5 linked regions of the Sus scrofa genome follow. The protein of the gene in region 3 interacts with the protein of the main gene of each other region in a pairwise test. Links are inferred from orthologs where the notes say so. Each region holds a gene or a part of one and is shown on either strand. Other genes may lie near its edges.

The links.
Region 1: the proteins of PHF1 (region 3) and PDLIM7 interact in binary tests that used the Homo sapiens proteins (3 or more experiments, as listed by UniProt). The two-hybrid records come from large-scale screens. The link is inferred for Sus scrofa from reciprocal best matches to the Homo sapiens genes PHF1 and PDLIM7.
Region 2: the proteins of PHF1 (region 3) and TRIM23 interact in binary tests that used the Homo sapiens proteins (3 or more experiments, as listed by UniProt). The two-hybrid records come from large-scale screens. The link is inferred for Sus scrofa from reciprocal best matches to the Homo sapiens genes PHF1 and TRIM23.
Region 4: the proteins of PHF1 (region 3) and HSD17B14 interact in binary tests that used the Homo sapiens proteins (3 or more experiments, as listed by UniProt). The two-hybrid records come from large-scale screens. The link is inferred for Sus scrofa from reciprocal best matches to the Homo sapiens genes PHF1 and HSD17B14.
Region 5: the proteins of PHF1 (region 3) and THAP1 interact in binary tests that used the Homo sapiens proteins (3 or more experiments, as listed by UniProt). The two-hybrid records come from large-scale screens. The link is inferred for Sus scrofa from reciprocal best matches to the Homo sapiens genes PHF1 and THAP1.

The regions. Positions count from the first base shown.
Region 1 is NC_010444.4:80,451,526-80,455,812, reverse strand, and holds the start of PDLIM7 (PDZ and LIM domain protein 7), read right to left. Parts: upstream 2,801-4,287; 5' UTR 2,695-2,800; intron 1,730-2,694; 5' UTR 1,720-1,729; coding exon 1,624-1,719; exon of another isoform or gene 1-1,623. UniProt on the Homo sapiens protein: May function as a scaffold on which the coordinated assembly of proteins can occur. May play a role as an adapter that, via its PDZ domain, localizes LIM-binding proteins to actin filaments of both skeletal muscle and nonmuscle tissues.
Region 2 is NC_010458.4:44,143,492-44,147,419, forward strand, and holds the start of TRIM23 (E3 ubiquitin-protein ligase TRIM23), read right to left. Parts: upstream 2,801-3,928; 5' UTR 2,706-2,800; coding exon 2,625-2,705; intron 1-2,624. Other genes in the region: TRAPPC13 (trafficking protein particle complex subunit 13), read left to right, coding at 3,443-3,488.
Region 3 is NC_010449.5:29,712,939-29,717,096, reverse strand, and holds the start of PHF1 (PHD finger protein 1), read right to left. Parts: upstream 2,801-4,158; 5' UTR 2,226-2,800; intron 1,515-2,225; 5' UTR 1,499-1,514; coding exon 1,340-1,498; intron 1,248-1,339; coding exon 1,166-1,247; intron 1,082-1,165; coding exon 986-1,081; intron 139-985; coding exon 38-138; intron 1-37. Other genes in the region: kinesin-like protein KIFC1, read right to left, coding at 3,560-3,604. UniProt on the Homo sapiens protein: Polycomb group (PcG) that specifically binds histone H3 trimethylated at 'Lys-36' (H3K36me3) and recruits the PRC2 complex. Involved in DNA damage response and is recruited at double-strand breaks (DSBs).
Region 4 is NC_010448.4:54,141,344-54,145,580, reverse strand, and holds the start of HSD17B14 (17-beta-hydroxysteroid dehydrogenase 14), read left to right. Parts: upstream 1-1,437; 5' UTR 1,438-1,610; intron 1,611-1,970; 5' UTR 1,971-2,048; coding exon 2,049-2,136; intron 2,137-2,659; coding exon 2,660-2,698; intron 2,699-2,891; coding exon 2,892-2,974; intron 2,975-3,511; coding exon 3,512-3,593; intron 3,594-4,237. UniProt on the Homo sapiens protein: Catalyzes the NAD(+)-dependent oxidation of L-fucose, yielding L-fucono-1,5-lactone, which rapidly converts spontaneously to L-fucone-1,4-lactone. Can also act on D-arabinose and L-galactose, with lower catalytic efficiency. Does not use NADPH.
Region 5 is NC_010459.5:11,770,522-11,774,629, forward strand, and holds the start of THAP1 (THAP domain-containing protein 1), read right to left. Parts: upstream 2,801-4,108; 5' UTR 1,870-2,800; coding exon 1,799-1,869; intron 1-1,798. UniProt on the Homo sapiens protein: DNA-binding transcription regulator that regulates endothelial cell proliferation and G1/S cell-cycle progression.

The DNA of each region.
Region 1 (4,287 bases), on a different chromosome or scaffold from region 3:
CCCTCCCTCCCCACTCCACGCTGGGGTCAGGGTAGAGGGAGAGAGGGCGGGCCCAGCTCAGAAAAGACCACCCTACACACCCGCCCACCCACCAGGGCCTAGGTCCAACTCCAGGGCTGGGCTCAGCTGGTGGCCCCACCCACATGCTAGGCCTGCTGACAAGGGAGCCTGGGCTCAGGGTGCCCCCAGCAGGCCACATCTGAAAGTCCATCCCCTAGGCTACTTTGTTGCCCATCCTCACCAAGGAAGAAACTGAGGCTCAGAGGCCAAGCCAAGGCCTACAGCTACCCAGTCACACTGGCTAGCACTTTCCCAGGGAAGGGGTATACAGGGGGAGGTTTCCAGGGCTGGAGAGACTCGAGAATTGTGTACAGGGTGGGTATATGTGGTAGGGAGATCACTGCCCTTAGCTACCCTTCCGGCAGCGCAGCTCCCAGGGTAGGATCCCTGAGAACAGTGACAGCCTAGCTGTTCTGGCCACCAAGCCCAATTCCGACAGACTCTGCTTTGGGGCCCCCTTGAGCTCAGCTGCGGCTGGACAACCCTCCGGCCCCCTCTAGGCTGTGCTTGCCCTGGGCTTCCTGCCAATAGCTGCCTGCCCACCAGGAGCCTGGGTGGGTCTCTCTGGATAAGCGGATATGGGAGCAGGAAGTCCCCACCTCCTCCTGAACCCACCCTCCACCCCCCACCACAGTGAGAGATACCAGCCCAAGGGCTGGACTCTCTCTCAGGGCAGGCAGCTTGTTTTACATGTCCCACGGCCGATCCCATGGCTAGAGCCACAGCCTGGGGGCGATGAGCTGAGGGGCCCACTGATGTGGTCAGGGGTCCAGGCCCAGACCAGCCTTTTTCAGCCCTGCAGACTCCAGCCACCAGTTGGCCATCCCTGCGTGGGGCTGCATTCTTGGGCTTATAAGGCAATCCCCCTGCCACAGGGAGGAGCCGGCCCCTAGCTCCACCCCCACCAGGACAGGATCTCAGAAGCTGAAGTCAGAGTCCTAGAGACCCATCCCAACCCCTGCTTGGGGTCAAAGCCCACTCCATCCTGAATGGGACCAGTGGATGGGATGGAAGGTCCTCACACAGGCCGGGGAGAGGCACCCCTCACACACACAGACTGCTGGCCATCCCTGTGGCTGAATTCCAATCCCTGTTTTGCCACGGAGTTGCTGAAGGAGCCCTTTCACCTCTCCGAGTCCTGAGTTAGCTCATCTGGAAAAACAGGATGACAGTTGCTATTCCCTGGGTGGCAGTGAGAATGAAGTGAGATCCTGCAGTCAGAGAGCCCTGCCTGGGGCCTAGCTCCAAGCATTGCTCTCTCAAGGAGCTTAGACACTTCCTGGAGACCTCAGAATGGGCATCCCCCTGGGCCTTGGAGGTGGCCACAGGAGCTTCGTGGAACAGCATCAGGTACAGTGCAGTGCTAGGGAAGTGTGGGGGCTCCTCTCCTAGTATCTCCCTAGTTAGGTTGGTAGTCTTCGTGGCAGTGCCCACATATCTGGACCTGGGCACCTCCTGGCCTACCGGCCGTGGCTCACTCCTGTTCAGGCTCTTTCTGTCACCCACTGGAGATCTGAGCACCCCAAGACCCCTGGGGGAGCCCCTCCCTCAATCTAGGCTCACCCGGGAGATGGAGAGGGGCACATTGAAGTCCTTGCCCCCCTGCAGCCGGAAGCCCCAAGGTGCTGGCCCCTCCAGCACCACCTTGAAGGAATCCATGGTGCCGCTCCTGAGAGGAGAGAAAAGGTGAGCAGCTGGCATGGTGGGTACACAGGCAGGCCTAGCTCTGGACATCAGGCTTGGACTAGTGCCAGGAAGGCACGAGCAGACGCTGAGCACACCCAGGGCAAGGGTAGGAGGGTAACTTGTTAAGTTTGGCTGGGCTGCTAGCTGGCAGACTTCACTTTGGAAAGGCAGCGGCAACCCCCCTTCCCCAAGGGACAGGGTGGGTGAGGGGAGCCCGAATCCAGCCTTGAGATTCTTTTCATCCAGGAGTGGATCGCAGGGCTAATTTGGCTCTGGCTTCCCCCCAAGCCATCCTTGAGCCTGGAACTAGACGGCAAGGCCAGTCCGGGGCCGGCGTTCCTCCTTTCCCCCGCCCCCAGGTCCCGGCAGGCAGGCCACGGCTGGAGCCTGCTCGGACTATATAAGGCGTGTAAGCTGACACTGTGCGGAGAGCCAACGGAGGGAACACACGGGGGCTCGGGACGCGAGGGGGAGGGGAAGGGGGGGAGGCGGCTGGAGCGGGTACTAGCCATTCCCGGACTAGTCGAAGCTGCCGTGACCCAGGGCGAGACCCCTGAGCGCTGGGGGAACTGGGCGGGTGCGCGGCCCCTGCGTAGGTCGGTGGGGACTGGGACTTCAAAGCGTGGCCAGGAAGGGAATTCATCCTAGAGTTCAGTGGGGGTGATGCCTCCCCCACAGGCCTACCCTCCTGACGTGACTCGGTTTCCCCCTGGTTCCCCGCCCCGGCCCCATGCATTGGCCGAGTCCCGGGGGCAGGAAGCGGCGCAGGCGCCAATCGGCCCCGCCGCAGCCGGCTTCGCCTCAGGAAGGCGGGGGCGGGGGTAGCGGCTCCCGCACGCCGGAGGAAGCGCAGCTTTGGCCACGACCCCTAGTGCCCGCTGTGGCCCCTAACAGGCCTCTGCCCCCCCGCCTGGCCCAGCCCGAAACGCCCCGCACAGTCGCCTGTACCTGCTCGGCCCCTCCGGGGCGCTGCTCAGCAGCGGGCTCCAGAGAGCCGCGCTGGGATCCGCCGCCCGCGTTCTGGCCCCGCCCCCGCCGCAGACATCAGTTATGAGCCCGCTGGAGGGGGCGTGGCCTGTGGCCACGCCTCCGTCAAAAGTTGAGCCCATGAGCAGTCTCCCAGGCAGTAGGAAGCCCCGCCGAATCCTTCCGTACCGCCCAATCACGAAGTCCGGTCTCTCTTTGCGCTGTAAGGCAAGGCTCTCCCTGGTCCCCTTAATGGGGCGGGGCCTGGGTAGGGTGTGGGGGGGTCTGGGCTGCTGGACAGCCCAACCCGCGGCTCGCCCAGCCCCTTGCGCCTCCCTCTGGCCGAGTGAAAAGCAAGTCACCAAGCAAACCAGGCAGATCTGGACCTGAGTCATCTCTAAACCCTAGTTTCCTACTGGGAAAGTGGGACAGTAATACTCGCCTCACAGGCCACCGTGAAGATAGGCATAGTTTGGCGTAAGGCACAGCCATTGATAGCTCAAGAATATCTAAATCGGGAGTTCCCGTCGTGGCGCAGTGGTTAACAAATTTGATCCCTGGCCTTGCTCAGCGGGTTAAGTATCCGGCGTTGCCGTGAGCTGTGGTGCAGGTCGCAGACGCGGCTTGGATCCCACGTTGCTGTGACTCTGACCAGTGGCTATGGCTCCGATTAGACCCCTAGCCCGGGAATCTCCATAATGCCGCTCCTGCGGCGAGCGGCTCTAGAAAAGGCAAAAAGACACACAAAGACACACACACAAAAGGAATATCTAAATCGGACAGACTTGGTCTGGAAGAGGGAGGGGGTGAACCTTGGAGGTGGGGTTAGTTGAGGTCGACACAGGGGGAGCTTACAGTTAAGTTTGCAGAACACTCCACCAAAGGCAGCAGACAGAGGTATAAAGGCCTTTGGCTCCGCCCCGACCCTATGCCCTGCCCTCACTCCTACCCCCTGACCCTCCGAAGGTTTAGGGCTGACCCCCAAACTGTCGAGATAGTCCTGGTACCCCACTCCAGAGTGGGCAGCGCCTCCAGTGGGGGTTTCACAGACCCCACAGCCCCAATGCTAGCGCAGTGGGAGGAAATTGACCAGGGATCAGGATGGGCATCCACCCCTCACCTCCTTCTAGGGCATGGCTGTGGCTACTCTCCTACCTCCACCATCATCATTACATTTCCCCCTATTCTGCATCATTCCCCTCATAATATAAACTGTAAGAATTTTCACTTTTTTTTTTTTTTTTTTTTTGGCCTTTTCTCATTATAGGGCTGCACCCAGGGGCATATGGAAGTTCCCAGGCTATAGCCGCCGGCCTATGCCACAGCCACAGCAAGGCCACAACAGGAATTCCAGTTACTTCCTAATTTAAACTTTCATTTTCCCCACCTCCCTAACTCCTTCCTTACTTCAAGGAAAAAAAATAAAAACAGTGTTCATCTGGTTAGGCCAGTAAAAATCATGAAGTTTTCCTTCCTTTCTCATCTGTGTCATACCTCAGATTCTGTAGATTCCACCTTCTGACTCTATTCCACACCTGGCTGCCGTGTTTGTCCTTGCCACTTGTCTCGTGCTTG
Region 2 (3,928 bases), on a different chromosome or scaffold from region 3:
AAGAGAAAATAATAATAATAACAATAATAATAATAATTTCATATCGGATTTGTGTCTATTTTTCCTAATGATAAAAACCCTGTCAGGAGTTCCCACTGTGGCTCAGTGGAAATGAATATGACTAGGAACCATGAGGTTGTGGGTTCAATCTGTGGCCTCGCTCAATGGGTTAGGGATCCGGCGTTGCCATAAGCAGTGGTGTAGATCGAAGACACAGCTTGGATCTGGAGTTGCTGTGGCTGTGATGTAGGCTGGCAGCTGTAGCTCCAATGAGACCCCTAGCCTGGGAAACTCTGTATGCCACGGGTGTGGCCCTAAAAAAAGAAAGAAAAAAAAAGCAAAACAAAAACCCTGTCATAATCAACTCGTCCATTAAGCAGGAAGCCATTTTCCATGTATACATTAGCATTATATACTTTAACTTTTACCTTCCAATAAATATTGCTTGCTTTCATCTATGAAAATGACAATAAGATTTTTATTTTATACCAACATATTTCTTAAAAATTATACCATGAGGATCTTGCCAAAAACGACTATCCTATTGCACAGCTTAGGCACAGTTTACATACAAAAATGAAAATTAACAAAATGAGCCTGTACTATAACAAACTGTGTTATAACAAACCATAACAAACTGTGTTATAACAAACCACAGTTACAGCAGGCTTTGGTGTATTTCTGAGATTTTAAGGCAAACAGGGTAACAAAACAAAAGGAGCTAACAGCAATAATATCTATTTCAATTAAGAACTTGTTAACTGAAGTTAATTCACAAAATAACATACAGGTATTCTCTACTTAGAAAAAGCCTGGAGTTACCCTCGTGGCTCAGTGGTTAACGAACCCGACTAGGATCCATGAGGATGCCCTTTCGATCCCTGGCCTCACTCAGTGGGCTAAGGAGCCAGCGTTGCTGGGAGTTGTGCTGTAGGTCGGATCTGGCTTTGCTGTGGCTGTGGCACAGGCCAGCAGCCCATAGCTCCGATTCACCCTCTAGCCTGGGAACCTCTATATGCCATTAAGTGCAGTTCTAAAAAGCAAAAAAAAAAAGAAAAAAAGAAAAAGAAAAAGCCTAATTTGGAGTTCCCATCATGGCTCAGTGGTTAATGAACCTGACTAGTATCCATGAGGATGCATGTTCAATTCCTGGCCTCGCTCAGTGGGTTAAGGATCTGGTATTGCCATGAGCTGTGGTGTAGATCACCGATAAGGTTCAGATCCTGCACTGCTGTGGCTGTGGTGTAGGCTGGCGGCTACAGCTCCAATTGGACCCCTAGCCTGGGAACCTCCATGTGCCACGAGTGTGGCCCTAAAAAGACAAAAAAAAAAAAAAAAAAAAGGAACACTAAGCCAGCTATAATGGAAAAAATAAAAATCATTATTAAGTAAATAAAATTTAAAAAAGAAAAAGAATAATTCAATAAATAAAAACTCAACCATACAACAAGCTTAATAAGAGCGCTCTTCTGCATTTCAGATAGTCTATGTACTTCAGAATGTCATTAACATATAAAGGTCAGATGAATCAACAACTACCAATACTGATTAATACAGTTGTTAGCAGAAATGTATCATTTGATGTCATATAAAACCAACATTAGGTGAAAAATCATAGGTGTCTACTATTTAAGATTCTAAGAAAATTTCAGATATCTGACCCAGTGGTTCTGAACAGTTTGTGCATTAAAACCACTCTGGGAATGAAAAAAATACACTGATGTCAACTTCATCAGAACCGGGGGCCTAATTTTTATTTTTTTTTTTTTTAAGTCCTCAGCTATTCTAATATGAAGTCAGGAATAAGAATTTTCAATAGCACAGATTATAAATCTTCCTAGCTTATTCTATAAACCACTGAAATCAGTTCTCCCTTCCGAATCTCTATTTATCTATATATGGAAAAACGAATTCCACATATTTCAATTGATTTCTTAGTAAATACATTTTAGAGCATCTACACATGATACAATTTCAAAGTTCAGTCATAGGGCAATTCACATTCCCCAGAGTTAATGGGACTTTTGGAGACTTCTCAAAAGTGCTGACAAACTGTACTACAAAAAGAAAGGAAGGAGCAGGTCAAGCAAAAATAGAGCTCTCATTACAGAAGTAATACGATAGTGAAAAGTGTACTTTAAAGCCAGTCAGCTGTGGCTCCACTATACAGTGTTATTCGAAACTTTAGTTTCCTCACCCGTAAAACGAGAATCAACATTTACCTCTAATAGATATTAACGATCTTACATACCTAACGTAGTACCTGGCAATAATAATGGCTCAATTTAATTTAAAAAAAAAAAAAAAAAAAAAGGCTAATCAACGCCTGTTGGGCTGAACTACAAGCAGAGGACCTGGAGAAAGACCAGCCCAGGTCACTCTAACATGTCGATAGGCTCCTTTTCACAAATGTCCCCGTTGGCGACTCCAAGCAGAAGACTAGCATGACCAGGAGACCATGCAACCTCAGGCCTCAGGAAGGGAGGGCAAAGCTTGTAAAGCCGAGAGGGGCCCAGAGGGCCGCGCATACCGGCCCCCAACAGCCAGGGCCGCTGTAGTGCCGCCAGATCTCCGGCATGAACTGGAGGCAGATGGCGGAGAACAGAGTACGCAAGGTCCCTCACCTTCACCACCGCTGTCCCCCGGCTGCCCTGACGACCACTGTCTAGTCCCGCACCAGGCCTGTTTACAACCAGGGCAGCCATCCTAGGAGGTGCAGTGCCGCAGAAGCAGCAGTCAAGGCCTTCACTAAGAGGCGGGGTAGAGCCACCTACCCAGAAGCCTAGGCGCTCGCTGCTGGTGCACAGGCGCAGTACGACGCGGAGAAGCCGCGGGGCCGACTTCTTCGCTCCTCCTTCTGGCACTCGTTTGCTGATTGGCTGCACACTCTTCAGTGGATGCGCTTTGTTATTTTGTTATTATTGAGGAGTCTGAACTTGATAGAAGGAACAAAATTAAGGGAAAAAAGAGAGGATAAAACAGAAGAAAATTGTTGGGATGAAACTCCTACCCCAGCAATGACTTCTTCCCTCTAACGAACGGAGACCGGGGACTACATCTCCCTGCATGCCATGCGGCTTTTAAACTACAAATCCCAGCGTGCCACATTTATATCAATTACTCTGCAGTGTAGGTATTTGGGAGGTTGTGTATTGTTACCGTGGAGTGCTTTCTTGAAAGAGCGGCGTGTGGCTGTGGCTGGAAAATAGAGAAGTATTTTATGTATAGGCCTGTAAGAGGCAAGAGATGACTTTGGTAAAAAGGAGCCGTTGGGTCAGTAAAGGACGTGGTTAGAAGAGTATATAAGGCGCTACCGGCAGACAGAAACTGTTGGGAGTGTCTTTAATGCCTTGTCTTCACGGACGTGCGCTTTTCTGTTTTCTTCCGGGCTGTTTGAACCGCTTCAGCCTCCGTAGGCAGTGGCTCCAAAGTGCCGGTCACAATGGAAGTGAATCCCCCCAAGCAGGAGCACCTGCTGGCCTTGAAAGGTAAACTTTGCGAACCCGGCTCCCAGTAATCTGTTTTCTCCCCTTCTCTCACTAGTTCTCGAAGCTTCATGGCACATAGACCTGCCTCTGGAATGTAGGCCTCGTCCTTCTTAAGCACTGTCAGTACTCGTCCTCCTCTCTGTCCTTGGGCGCCCAGCGTGAGGAAGCCGTTTCCTCGCTTTGGGTTTTGAGTTTGAGAATCGCCCTGTAAAATGGAATAGATACGTGGTAAATTACTTACTCTGTTATATGCTGCTGCAGTCACCGGAGAGATTTTTGGCAGTAGTTGACCTCCCTACCCTGGGGAGAGCCCTGTCAAATGAGACCATTAACAGCGGGTATCTAAAGTGGTTTTTTCCTCTGTCTCTTATCTCTTGACGCGGCAATGACAGTGTTACCAGGCTTCAGCTTCATTTGTGAAATTTAGTCTAGTTATTGTG
Region 3 (4,158 bases):
GGTTGCAGTCCAGGGCTCCTGGGGAAGATGCCTTTACCTTGGTGGCGATGGCAAAGACGCACTGGCGGCAGACCCAGGGTGTGCCCTCTCCCTCTCCGGGGGCTGGGGCCCTTGGCACGTGGCAATCCTGGTGATAAGCTGAATAAGGACAATGTTGAGAGTAGGCTACTTACGGCCTGCAGACCTGTGTGTGCCAGGTATTGGGATGGGAAGAGTCTTATCTGATTTCCTTCTTTTCTCTGTTAACAGCTGCACTTGCAGCACATGGAAGTTCCCAGGCTAGAGGTCAAATCAAAGCTGCAGCTGCCGGCCTACACCACAACCACCGCCACCAGATCCAAGCCACATCTGTGACCTATGCTGCAGTTCATGGCAACATGGGATCCTTAACCCACTGAGGCCAGGGATTGAACCTGCATCCTCACAGAAACAGCACTGGGTCCTTAACCCACTGAGCCACAGCTGGAAATTCTCATTTCCTTCTTGATCATGGTCCTGCAGGGTGGGTGTATGACCTTTACTTTATAAGCAGGGAAGGCTCTTCCTCTCTTGCTCTTTCTCTTTTTCTCTCTCCCTTCCCACCCCCTCCCCTGCCCAGCCTGCCTGTACCTATATTTTCTCTGCACCTATCTTCGCTCTCTAAATAAACACTTAATAGCCTCACTTGTCCTCAATCTCTGCTGAATTCTTTCTCCAAAGTGACCAAAAAAAAAAAGCAGGGGAGGGAACTGTGGCTCTTAGAGGTTTAGGAACTGGCCCAAGGTCATGTGCTTAGAAAAAGGTGTACCTGAAGTACCCTCTGCCTGCAAAGCTCACACATCTCCACCCATGGGTGCCTCTCCCTGTACAGGGAGGGAGTGAGGTTACAGGGTTGAGGAGACCGGCCAGGGCAGGTGACATAAGAACCACTGCTGGAGGGAAGGGGGGAGAGGCAGCCTGGAAGACCCAGGGCAAGCTGGGTCCTTCAGGTGTCCTGCCCTCTCACCATGGCGACACTTTTCACAGCTGACCAGCCGATTTCCAGGGACCACAGTCTCAGAGCGACATACACAGCAGAGGAGTTCCTCCCCAGGGAGGGCAGCTGTTGGGGAGGAACACAACGTTCAGGGGGCCTGTCCAACCCCCATGCCAGGTATCTGTTATCCATGGGATGCAGGCCTCTCACCAGGGCTAATGTCTTTCCATAGAACCAGAAACTGGGAATCATCCTCAAACTGGACCAGACACACCTCCCGAGCACTGTCCACCTGCAATGGGTGAGCCCAGAAGATCAAATGGGAATCAGAACTAGATAGGAGGAATGGGGAAAAGGTGACAGGTCAGAAGTCAAAGGTCATACCTTTTTGATGGTCCCCAAGTATAGCAGCCCATCTGTCCACCTGGCCAGCACATCTTGACCCTCCCAAAGTCGAGGCCTGGGGCCTGAGGTGGAAGCAGAGGAAGCTGGGTCCCAAAGTGGGGGGGCAGCAGAGCGGCTCAGCCGGGGGGGCTGTGCCATTGCATCCTGGGGGGGCCTAGCCAGAAGCGGGATGGGAGGAGAAAGTTTTGAATGCTGAGGAACTGGTCCCCATTTTCCTTGTGTATTTCTCTGTCAAGGACTCAAGCAGGTGTGTCCCAGTCTCCATATCCCTGAGAGGGTGCAAGGGAACCTCCAGGCCCTTCCTCAGCCTCACCGGAGCCACCCCTGGCTCTCTTCTCCCTACCATGCACCCCCTCCCCAACCTAGTTCTCTAGTTTCCGGCTCCCTTGGGATGTTATATCCTGGCCTTGAGATTTTAGCAAAAGTGATGGTTGCAGAAGCAAAGGTTACCACTCTGTTTTTACTGTCACCTTCTACTGCTCTTTAGGGGTGTCATAATTGGGGTGCTGTTTTCCAGAGATGTGTTTTGGGAGCTTTTCTGGAGATGTTTTCCAGAGTGAGAACGGCTGCCTCCCCGACCCGCGTGTCTCATTCAGAACAATCATCCTGGTACCAGGTTATGTCAGGTCACCCTCAAATTCGGGGCTCCCGGCCCCTGGGTTAGATAACTTCCTTGAGTGCCCCGGGAGGGGGGCGTGTCCCAGTCCCGGTCTCTACTCCCCAGGACCGCGAGTCCGAGAGAGGGGACTTGAGACGGCCCAGCCCGACCCGATGCAAGGGCGGCGCGGCTCTCCCGCCCGCGCCCTGCGCGCCGACCCCCGGCTCCCTGCCCCCCCCCCACGGGCGCCTCCCGCCACCTCCTTACCAGTGACAGCTGGGGCCGCCGGGAGCCGGGCAGAGGCAGACGTGGGATACCCAGGCGAACCCCTCGCGCCGGGAGGGCACGTCTGGGCGTCGGGGGGCGTGCAGGCAGCGACCCGGGGGTCCCCAGGCCCAGCCCCTCCGTCCCGGCAGCTCTGGGGCGTATGACGCAGCAGCCAAAGCAGCGGCAGCGGCAGGAGGAGGCGGCGGGGGGAAGGAGGGGAGAGGAGGGGAGGGGAGGGACAAACCGGCTCGGGGGGAGGGTGGTGGGAGGGAAGGACTGGGGGGAAGGAGGAGCCGGAGTGGGGGGGCGGGCACCACCTCACCCCACCTCCCTCACCTCCAGCAGGCCTGGAGGGCGCCAAGCAAGCGGCGGCCTCTCCGCGGCTGGGGCAGGCGGACAGTCGGACCGGCCGTGAGAGGGAATCCCCGTAGCCCCTTCCTCCAAAGGGAGACCTGCCCTCGGGGCAGGAGGGAATCCCCTTTCCCCACCGCCGGCCTCCGGCCTGGCCCCCGCACTGTGCCACATCCGTTAACTGCCCCTCCAGCCTTCATGGTCACTCCAAGTCCCGCCCCCCGGCTCAGTTCACGACCCCGCCCTCCATTCACCCTTCCCATTGCCCCGCCACGCCCTCCTCCCGCCTCCGCCCCGGCCCCGCCCTCCCCGTGGCTGGGTTGTGTCCCGCCCCCCCCGCCCCGCCCGCAGTCGCGCTTCTGCGCACGCGTGGCTCCTCCCGCGCGCGGCACCTGGGAGGACCGAGCCCCCCCCTCACCGGGCGGTGGCCCAGGCAGTTGGCGCGAGAGAGTCCGGGCTTGCGTCCCGCCCCGCGCTCCCAAGGCGGGTGCTCGGACCAGCAGCCAGCCAATGGGCAGCGGACGGGGCAGGCCTGGCGGTTCGAACGCGAAGGCAGGGAAAGAGCGGGAGAGAGCCAGCAGTTTGTGGGAGGGCGCGCCGGCCCCGCCCACCTCCCACAAGTACCAGGGGTGCTCTTGCCAGGCGGGGGCCGTGGCACAGGGGAGGCTGGCCACCTGGTGGGCACACCTCCCAGGTGGGGACCACGAGACAGGGTATGGGAGCTGAAGGCATGGGCATGGCCTGTTGGGTAGAACAGAAGAGCCACAGTTCCCATCTTTACAGATATGAAAAGTATCTCCCTGATTGGGCAACCGCTAATAAAACCTTTATTTAAAAACAGCGAAAAAACCTCTTCTTTATTTGATAGGCCCAGATATCACAGCACCCCCCACCAAGAAAGCACCCGCACCCACCTCCCTTCCCCGTGTGTGTCACACACACACACACACACACACACACACACACACACTCTAGATCCGTCTTCATTTCTTGTTGGCTTGGGCAGTACCAATGACACATTGGTTCACCTGTGGGCAGGGGTTTAGACAAACAGAAAAAAAAAAGTTCACAGTAACTACAAACAGTTTTCCCCAAATCACCTCCCAGGGAGGAGTTCCCACTGCAGCCAGTGGGTTAAGAATCAGAGTGTGGCATCTCTAGTCACTGCAGAGGTGCAGGTTTCTCAGCCCAGAGCAGTGGGTTAAAGGACCTGCAGCTACAGCTCAGATTCAGTCCCTGGCTGGGAAACTTCTATACGTAGTGGGTGTGCCCATTAAAAAAAAATCATTAGGGGAAAAAGTAGATAGGGAGTTTTAAAATGGATAAATCAAGCTCACAATACCCAAATCCAGTGACCAATTTTTATATCATTAAAAGTGGAACAATTAGTTATTAGGTGTCTTCTGATGTGATGCAATAGAAAGTGTAAAACACCATCTAAGTTTTCTTGCCAAGAAATTTGAACCTGATTCAAATTAAGCCTCTAAATTTAACTACCAGAAAAAATAATTATGGAGAAAATGAGGCAACCAGCCAAAATCCAGAATAGGACATTTTCCAGAGGACAAATGACCCTCTTTTT
Region 4 (4,237 bases), on a different chromosome or scaffold from region 3:
CCCTAGCCTGGGAACCTCCATATGCCGCGGGAGCGGCCCAAGAAATAGCAACAACAACAACAACAACAACAAAAAGACAAAAGACAAAAAAGACAAAAAAAAAAAAAAAAAGACATTTGCCATGTTTGGGGGGGGGCAATTTTCTCTCTTCGCTAAGCTCCTTCACTTCATCCTCAAAATGAGGACGTGAGGGCTTCCTGGGGGAGGAATTCTAATGCTCCAATTCCTTTGCAGCCTGCCCTGGGACACTCAGGAGCCAGAAATGGCTCAGAAGCTCTGGGTCCTGGAGCAGGTAAGGAATTGGAGATCCAAACTAGAAGCAAGAAAGTCAACAAAAGGGTGAGGAGTAGCATTAAGTATTAATGTCTCCTGAGTACTCTTGAGTACCAGGGTATGGATGGCAGAACATTTCAGAGACGCTTGAATTCCTGGGGAATGAGAAAGCCCTAGTTCACAGCGGTTCCACCGTTGCTGTCAAACTCTGCTCCTCTGTCGGGAAGTTTTCGGGCAATTGGACTACAGATCCCATAATGCACGCAGACTTAAAAAGAGGGTCTCGCCCTGTTCAAAATCCTTTAGAGCCATATGCTAGGGACTACAACTCCCAGAAGGACACGCTCTGCACCGTGGTCCTCACCTTACAGGCAAATTATTCAAGGCCACCCCTGCATCTTCTTTTTTCTAGTCCGAGGAACACGACCCCTTATTTACCAACATCTGAGGGTCACCGGGAGCGAGTTCTCAGCCTCTCTCAAGCCTTGGCTGCTGAGGCGTCACAGTGGCACCGAATGATGACAGGTGAGAATGGGCTGGGGACCTTGGGCTCCTGGGTGTTAGGGAAGAGGGAGTCTGGAGGCCCGGAATCCTAGGTCCTGGTGGGGAGGGGGGTCCGACGACCGCCAGAAACCCTCTGCCTTGGTAAAGAAAGAGCTGGACAGGGCTTGGGGGTTCCAGACCCCAGTAGGAGGGGACTGGATCCCAGGACTGCCGTGTCTGGGGAGGAGAGGACGGGGAGCCTGGACTCCTAGGTTTGAGAGGAAAGTCCTGGGTGTCGGGACTTCTGGGTCCCAAAGTTTGCCATTCTCGTTCTCCGTCCGTCCTCTCCAGGTGGCAGTTTGGACTCTCGAGGAGACCCTCTTCCCCCTGCGTCGCCACCTCCGTCAGATCCCACGCCCTGCGTGTCCTCGCCCCCAAGATCTCCTCCAGTGGCCAGTTCCCACTCCACGGGGTTCTCCCACCGAGGGACTGGGCGCGACGCAGGCCCGGCCTCTTGGGAGCCGACCTGGGATTCCGGGACCGCCCCTCCCGCGCTAACCCCAGACGAGGAGGCGTGGCCTCTGAGAGTCACGCTGCTACAGTCCAGCTTCTGACCCGCCCAAGCAGGGCAGCCAATCAGAGCTGGAGGGCGTGTCCCGGAGGTACTTCCGGGACAGATGGAGCCTCTTCCCTCACCTGAGGGCGTGATCTGGTCCCCTCCCGGTGGCCGAGGAGTGGCTACTTTGGCCAAAGTTTGATTTTCCCAATACTTGTCCAAATTTGGATTAAAACATTGAACTCTTAGTCGATAACTTTCTGTCTGTTTGGAGTTGTGACACCGGTGTCTCGAAGAGGTAGAGCTGGAGTGGTGAACTCCTGGGTCCCGCGGGAGGAGGGGACAGCGGACTCAGCTTTGTGTGTCAGAGGAACGGGGGGAGCTCGAGGTCTGGATTACTGAGTCTGAGGGAGGAGGGGGCCGGCGACCTGGATTCCTGGGTCTGAAGGAAGAGAGGACCCGGGACCTGGACTTTGGAGTCCAAGGTCCGGCAGAGGGGGCCGGACTCCAGGAATCCCGAGTTTGAGGGTTGGGGGACCGGCCTCCTGGGTCTGAGGGAGGAGGGGGCTGGGGCCAAGTTCCAGGCTTCTGGCTTTCCTGGCAACGCCCCCGGGGCCGGGCTTCAGGATCCAGCCCCTATTTATGGTTCGACCCCAAGACCTCACCGGACTTCAGAGGGGGATAGAAGCCTCGAGTGAGTGTGAGTGAGTGGCCGAAGGAGACCTTCTGACGCGGGATGGCAACGGGAACGCGCTATGCCGGGAAGGTGGTAATCGTGACGGGGGGCGGGCGCGGCATCGGAGCTGGGATCGTCCGAGCCTTCGGTGAGTGGGGTCTGGTCGGCTCTGAACAGTGGAGTCTGGGAGCGGAGGGACCCGGGGGCTAATGGGTGTGGGACGAAGTATCTTCTGTACTGGAATCTAGATTCTTGTCTCGTAAAATCCAATTTGCAAAGTTAACGAAGGGAAGGCAGAGGTGGCCTGGGGCCTGAGATTGCGGCGGATTTTCAAATGCCATTGACTCCCTTTCTCTGGGTCTCAGCTATTGCTACAGAATGGGGGGCCGGGGGTGGTGGTTGAAGGAATATGTCTTTTGGAGGTTTAGGGTTTACTCTAGAACCCAGGGATGGAGACTCAGGAGCCCCAGAAGTCACCTGGAATAGCCAAGGAGAAGGCTAGGCTTCTGCCTTTTGCCCTACGGGATCATCATGAGACTTTGGGGTCACGAGGGGAACAGAGCTGGGGCGGTGGTGGGGGGGGAACGGCCCTGTTCCGGGTGGCCACAGAGGGCAGCAGAGATCTTCACCAAGGTCTCTGCAGGGCTAACCTATTCCCTGTCTATTCGCAGTGGAAAGTGGCGCCCAGGTGGTGATCTGTGACAAAGACGGTGAGTGAGGGTCCCCCAGTCCTCAGCCCACTGCCTCCTCCCTTAGATTCAAGAAGAATACAGGCCCCAGCACCCTCCTCCCTCAGACCCAGGATCCAGCCCCAGCCCTCCTCCCTCAGACCCAGGATCCTGGGCCCCCAGCCCCTCCTCTCTGAGACCCAGGCTCCAGCCCCCAGCCCTTCTCTTCCTGCAGAGTCCACTGGTCGGACCCTGGAGCAGGAGCTGCCTGGGTCTGTCTTTGTCCTCTGTGACGTGACTCAAGAGGATGATGTGAAGGTGAGCGCGTAGTTTCTGTCCCTCCCCGTCCCCCTCAATCTCCAATCGTTCTCTCTCTCCCTTCACCCCGGGCTTTGCACATGCTATTCCCTCTACCCTTCCCCATCTCCTGGCTAAATGACACCTGCCCCCAGAGTCTCAGCTCAGTTTCATCGCAAAGCTTTCCTAACTCGGCTGGCCACGTCCTGTGTCTGCCGAGAAGATTCTCCTCTATCTCCCAGGCCTTCAAGGCCCCTGGTCCCTCCTGTCACATGATCTGGATCCAGTAAGAGTTCTCCTTCTCCCAGGGTTTCTCCCCTTCCCTTCATCTGCTCCCCCATCCCCCACCCTCCTGGGTCTCTGGAGTAGTGAGCTCAGGGTGTGTGTCACCAGCCCTCTGGTCTCTGGCACCCTGGCGTCCAGTCTCCTCATCTCCTGCCATGCCTGGCGATTTGGGGTCGGCCCCCACAATGTCCTGTCCCCTCCGCGGTGACTCCGCTTCTGCCACGTCTCACTTGGGGGAGCCCAGCAGGGGCGCCAATGCTGTTCACTCACAAGACAGCTTTCTCCTCAGACCCTCTTTCTGAGACCATCCGCCGCTTCGGCCGCCTGGACTGTGTGGTCAACAACGCCGGCTCCCGTGAGTTGTCAACCCGCTTCCCGGGCTCTGTCCCATTGCTGCTCTGTGTCCCCAGGCCTGTGCCGCCACCTCTTTATGCCTCAGTTTCTACATTTCTAAAATGACAATGACCACCACTGTCCTTGCCATTACAGGGTGTTGAGAGTATTAAATAGTGTAACTGGGCGGAGTTCCCGTCATGGTGCAGAGGAAATGAACCTGACTAGGAACCATGAGGTTGCGGGTTCAGTCCCTGGCCTTGCTCAGTGGGTTAAGGATCTGGCTGTGAGCTGTGGTGCAGATACGGCTCGGATCCCGTATTGCTGTGGCTGTGATGTAGGCCAGAGGCTGTAGCTCCGATTCGACCCCTAGCCTGGGAACCTCCATATGCCACGAGTGCGGCCCTAAAAAAAAAAAAAATTGTGTCACTGCTCAGCCCCCTAATCACCCTAACTGTCTTGGGCAGACAGCGTCCATCTTGCAGCCTCCGTTTTGGTTTGGTTTGGTTTGGTTTTGGCCATGGCATGCAGAAGTTCCAGGGTCAGGGATTGAATCTGCGCCACAGCAGCAATAATGCCAGGTCCTTAGTCTGCTGAGCCACCAGGGAACTCCAACCTCAGTTTCTTTAAAGTGAGGCGGATGGCTCTTTTTTTCTGTGACTGTGA
Region 5 (4,108 bases), on a different chromosome or scaffold from region 3:
TTATTCCAAAAAAGGGCACATCCAGACTTTCCTGCTTTGGAAGGAACTAGCTTATACTGGTGTTAACACACCAATGAGTATTTGATGAAAATGCTAACTTTGCTCATTTTTGGGGGACAGTTTTTAGTTGTGCCTTTATTACCTTAGTTTGTTAAAAATGGACTTGTTTTGGAGTTCCTGCTGTGGTACAGTGGGTTATCGATCCAGCATTGCACAGCTGCGGTGTAGATCACAGCCACAGCTCGGATTCAATCCCTGGCCCAGAAACTTCCATATTCTCCCAGTACTGGTGCAGTGATTAAATTAAAAAATGTACTTGCTTTAAAATCCTATAACTAGAATTCCCGTTGTGGTGCAGCCGAAACAAATCTGACCAGGAACCATGAAGTGCGGGTTCGATCCCTGGCCTCGCTCAGTGGGTTAAGGATCTGGCGTTGCCATGAGCTGTGGTGTAGGTCACAGATGTGGCTTGAATCTGGCATTGCTGTGGCTGTGGCGTAGGCCAGCAGCTGCAGCTCCAATTCCACCCCTAGCCTGGGAACTTCCATGTGCAGCTGGAACAGTCCTTAAAAAGACGAAGGAAAAAAAAAAAAAATTGGAAGGTGGGTAGCTGAACAGCCTGCGATGGTGTCACCACCTCCAGACCTACTCCCTTGACTTTGAAAGTACTGGAGGCCAATCCATCAGCTTTCAGAAATTCTAATAAATCAAGAGTAATATTAAGATATCACCCCCTCAAATGAATCTGGAAGTGTTGTGTTTCTCCCCTTAGAAGGGAAACAGCAACACTCTCAAGATTTCTCTATGCTCCCTCAGCTCTCTAGTGTTACACCAAATGTACAAAAATGTATCCACATTCCCTGTTAAACATAAAAGGCCCCACCCTCCAAACTGAAGGAATACTTAAGATTTTGCTCTTGAAATTATTTCGCTATAAATCGTATAATTTATCACTGGCTTTTATTTCTTTAGCTATCATCCATTTACGGTTGAGATTATTGCAAAACACTTTTTATGTGATAACATCTGTAAATATAGAATTTGGCTGAATGAAAATGCCATCGTGCAGACATCGGATTATCATTGTCACTCTACTTTTCGGCTTTCTTTGGAGAGACCTGTTTCCTCCTAGGACCTCTAAGGTGAAACCGGCCCTAGAACTGGGAACGTGTCCCCCTCCGAGGGCTTCTTCCAGGTCCGTGACAGCCCGGCTGATTTTATCATGCACAGTGTACCACTACTGCCCGTTAACATAGTGTGCTCAGCCTGGAGCTCTCTCTAAAACTCAGCAGTCCTCAGGAGCAGAGTCCAAAACATCCTCCCTGAAATCCCGCCCACGTCAATGCCTAAATGCTGTGATGCTGGACTCCCCCCACCGCAGGGGATCAAAGTTCGTGACTTCCCGGCTGTTTCCTCTTCAACTTTACGGCTAAAGTGGCATTACTACCTGGCTTCTCTACGACCCTGGTGGTGAGACCCAGCTGCCTCTCGGTCTGGACACCCCACGACTCACGGGAATTCTAGGCTTCGTGGGTGGGCCGCGAACTAGCTACCCTGAGCTCCGCTAGAAACTGGAGCGCGAGGAACAGCCTCCGCGGCGACGCAACCGAGAACGCGCATCCCGGGGCGGAGCGCCGCGGGTGACGCCAGGGGCACGCCCACCGCTCCCCGTCCCAGCGCCAGACGGCGCCCCGCCCCTCCCACTAGGTCTCGCGCGGACACGCGCCTGGCCCCGCCCCCGAGCAGGGCCGCGCGCCCCCAGCCCCTGCGAGGCCCAGGAGGCGCTCAGGATACTTACTTGTGGAAAGAAACGGGCTTGTCCTTGTCATATCGGTTCTTGCAGCCGTAGGCGGAACAGGACTGCACCATCCTTCCGGTCCTGGTTACTTCACTTCTGCCGCCCCAGCAGGCAGTTGAGGCTGCTATCAATGTCGTCGCGCTCGACTTTGACACCCTCTCTTCTTCCGTAGCTTTGGTCAACAGTTACAATGACGAGAGGCTCACTCGGGAGCGACTAATGTGTCCGTTTTGTTGTTTGCATTAGCAGAAGGACCACAGCCATCGCCCGTCTCCCGTCTCCAAGATGGCGGAGACAGCTTCAACCTCACCTCTCGCGAGGCGTTAGTCCTACTGTCTCTTGATTAGCCCTGAGGTCAGAGGTAACGTTTCTTGGGAAGCAGGCCATTGGCTGAGTCCCGCCGCGCGGCGGACTGAGCGTTGCGGAAGTGGGCGGGGCCTCCGAGCTTCCGGAAGGAAGGAGTAATTACCTGGGAGAGGGGGGTGGGAGCGCAGGACCGATTCCGCCCCGGCGGTGCTGCTTGGGGTTACTTATGCTGGGCGGTTCAGATTCGCGGCACTCTACCGTCTATTGGGTCTGCTGGCCTGAAGCAGGACAGGTGTAAAGCTGAGGTCGTTGCATAATTGCCTTGTTTCTCTAAAAGGGCGGTCCCAGATGGCGTGATGTGTAAAACTTGGTGGACTCCCTTCCCGGCCCGCTAACCTCTCTTACCTGCTTCAGGTATTCTGAGGCTTTGCGGAGCCCAGGTGAAGAGTTTAGCCAGGAAAGCCCGCACCTGCACACACCGCGAGCCCAGTCTCTAGGGGCTTCTCTCACTAATGCTGCAGTTATCTTAATGATCTCCAGGTGCCGTGTTGGGACTCGCCAACAGCTGCAGCCCTTTTGGCCGGCTCCTTTCGTCTGTGTCGATAACGGGCTGTTGAGTAATCTCATGGCTCATAATTTCTTTTTTTTTAATTGGTGAGCAAGACTAGCATAGGCCCAGTCTTCGTAGCTTAAGTCCTAGTAAGGGGAAACAGACAATAAAAATGTAAATAAAATCACAGTGTGCTCAGGTGCCTGAATACATTAGAATGCCGAGATGAGGGTAGTAAGGAGAGGGTCACTGCCTACTCTCTGAGAAGGGAATGTTAAATCTGAGAACCAAACAACGGGTCGGGGGGAGAGGGTTTCTGCCACAAGAAGTGCGTGCTAAGGCCTGGAGGCAGTAAAAAGGTCTGTCTTCTAGGAACTGAATGGGGCCTGCAATGGCAGAGCCCAGTGAGTGGGTGGGGGCATACTGCAGCGTGAAGCCGCTGAGCCATTTTAGGCGGGGAGAGACATGATCTAATAAACGTTTTTAAAAGGCCATTCTGGGGAGTTCCCGTCGTGGCGCAGTGGTTAACGAATCCGACTAGGAACCATGAGGTTGCGGGTTCGATCCCTGCCCCCACTCAGTGGGTTAACGATCCGGCGTTGCCGTGAGCTGTGGTGTAGGTTGCAGACGCGGCTCGGATCCCGAGTTGCAGTGGCTCTGGCGTAGGCCGGTGGCTACAGCTCCGATTCGACCCCTAGCCTGGGAACCTCCATATGCGCGGGAGCGGCCCAAGAAATAGCAACAACAACAGCAAAAGACTAAAAAATAAAAAAATAAAAGGTCATTCTGGCTATTATGCCAAGAATTTATCAGGGAGGGGCAACAGTGAGTGAGCAGACCAATTAATAAGAGCAGACCAATTAAGAGGCTGTTGCAAGCAGACAGGAGATTGGCAACTTTGGACCAAGGAGTAGATGCCTATGCTAACAGGTAGAAACACCAGGGCTTGCTGGTAGTGGAAACAAGAATGAGGAAGACACAGAGTTCCCACTGTGGCGCAAGTGGAAACGAATCCGACTAGGAACCATGAGGTTGCAGGTTGGATCCCTGTCCTGCTCAGCAGGTTAAGGATCCGGAGTTGCGGTGACCTGTGGTGTAGTTCGCATACGCGGCTCGGAAATGGCGGTGCTGTACCTGTGGTGCAGGGCGGGCAAGCTCTAGCCCCGATTAGACCCCCTAGCCCGGGAACCTCCGCATGCCTCGAGTGTGGCCATTAGTGGCCCTAAAAAGACGAAAAAAAAAGGAATGAGGAAGGAGTTCCCCCTCCCTCCTGGCTCAGTGGTTAACAAACCCGACTAGTATCCGTGAGGACTCGGGTTTCAATGGGTTGAGACCCGGTTGCTGTGGTCTACCTCACGTGTTTCTCGGATCCCAATTGCTGTGGCCGTGGCTAGCAGCTACAGCTCCGATTAGTTCCCTAGCCTGGGAACCTACATATGCTGCGGGTGAGGCCC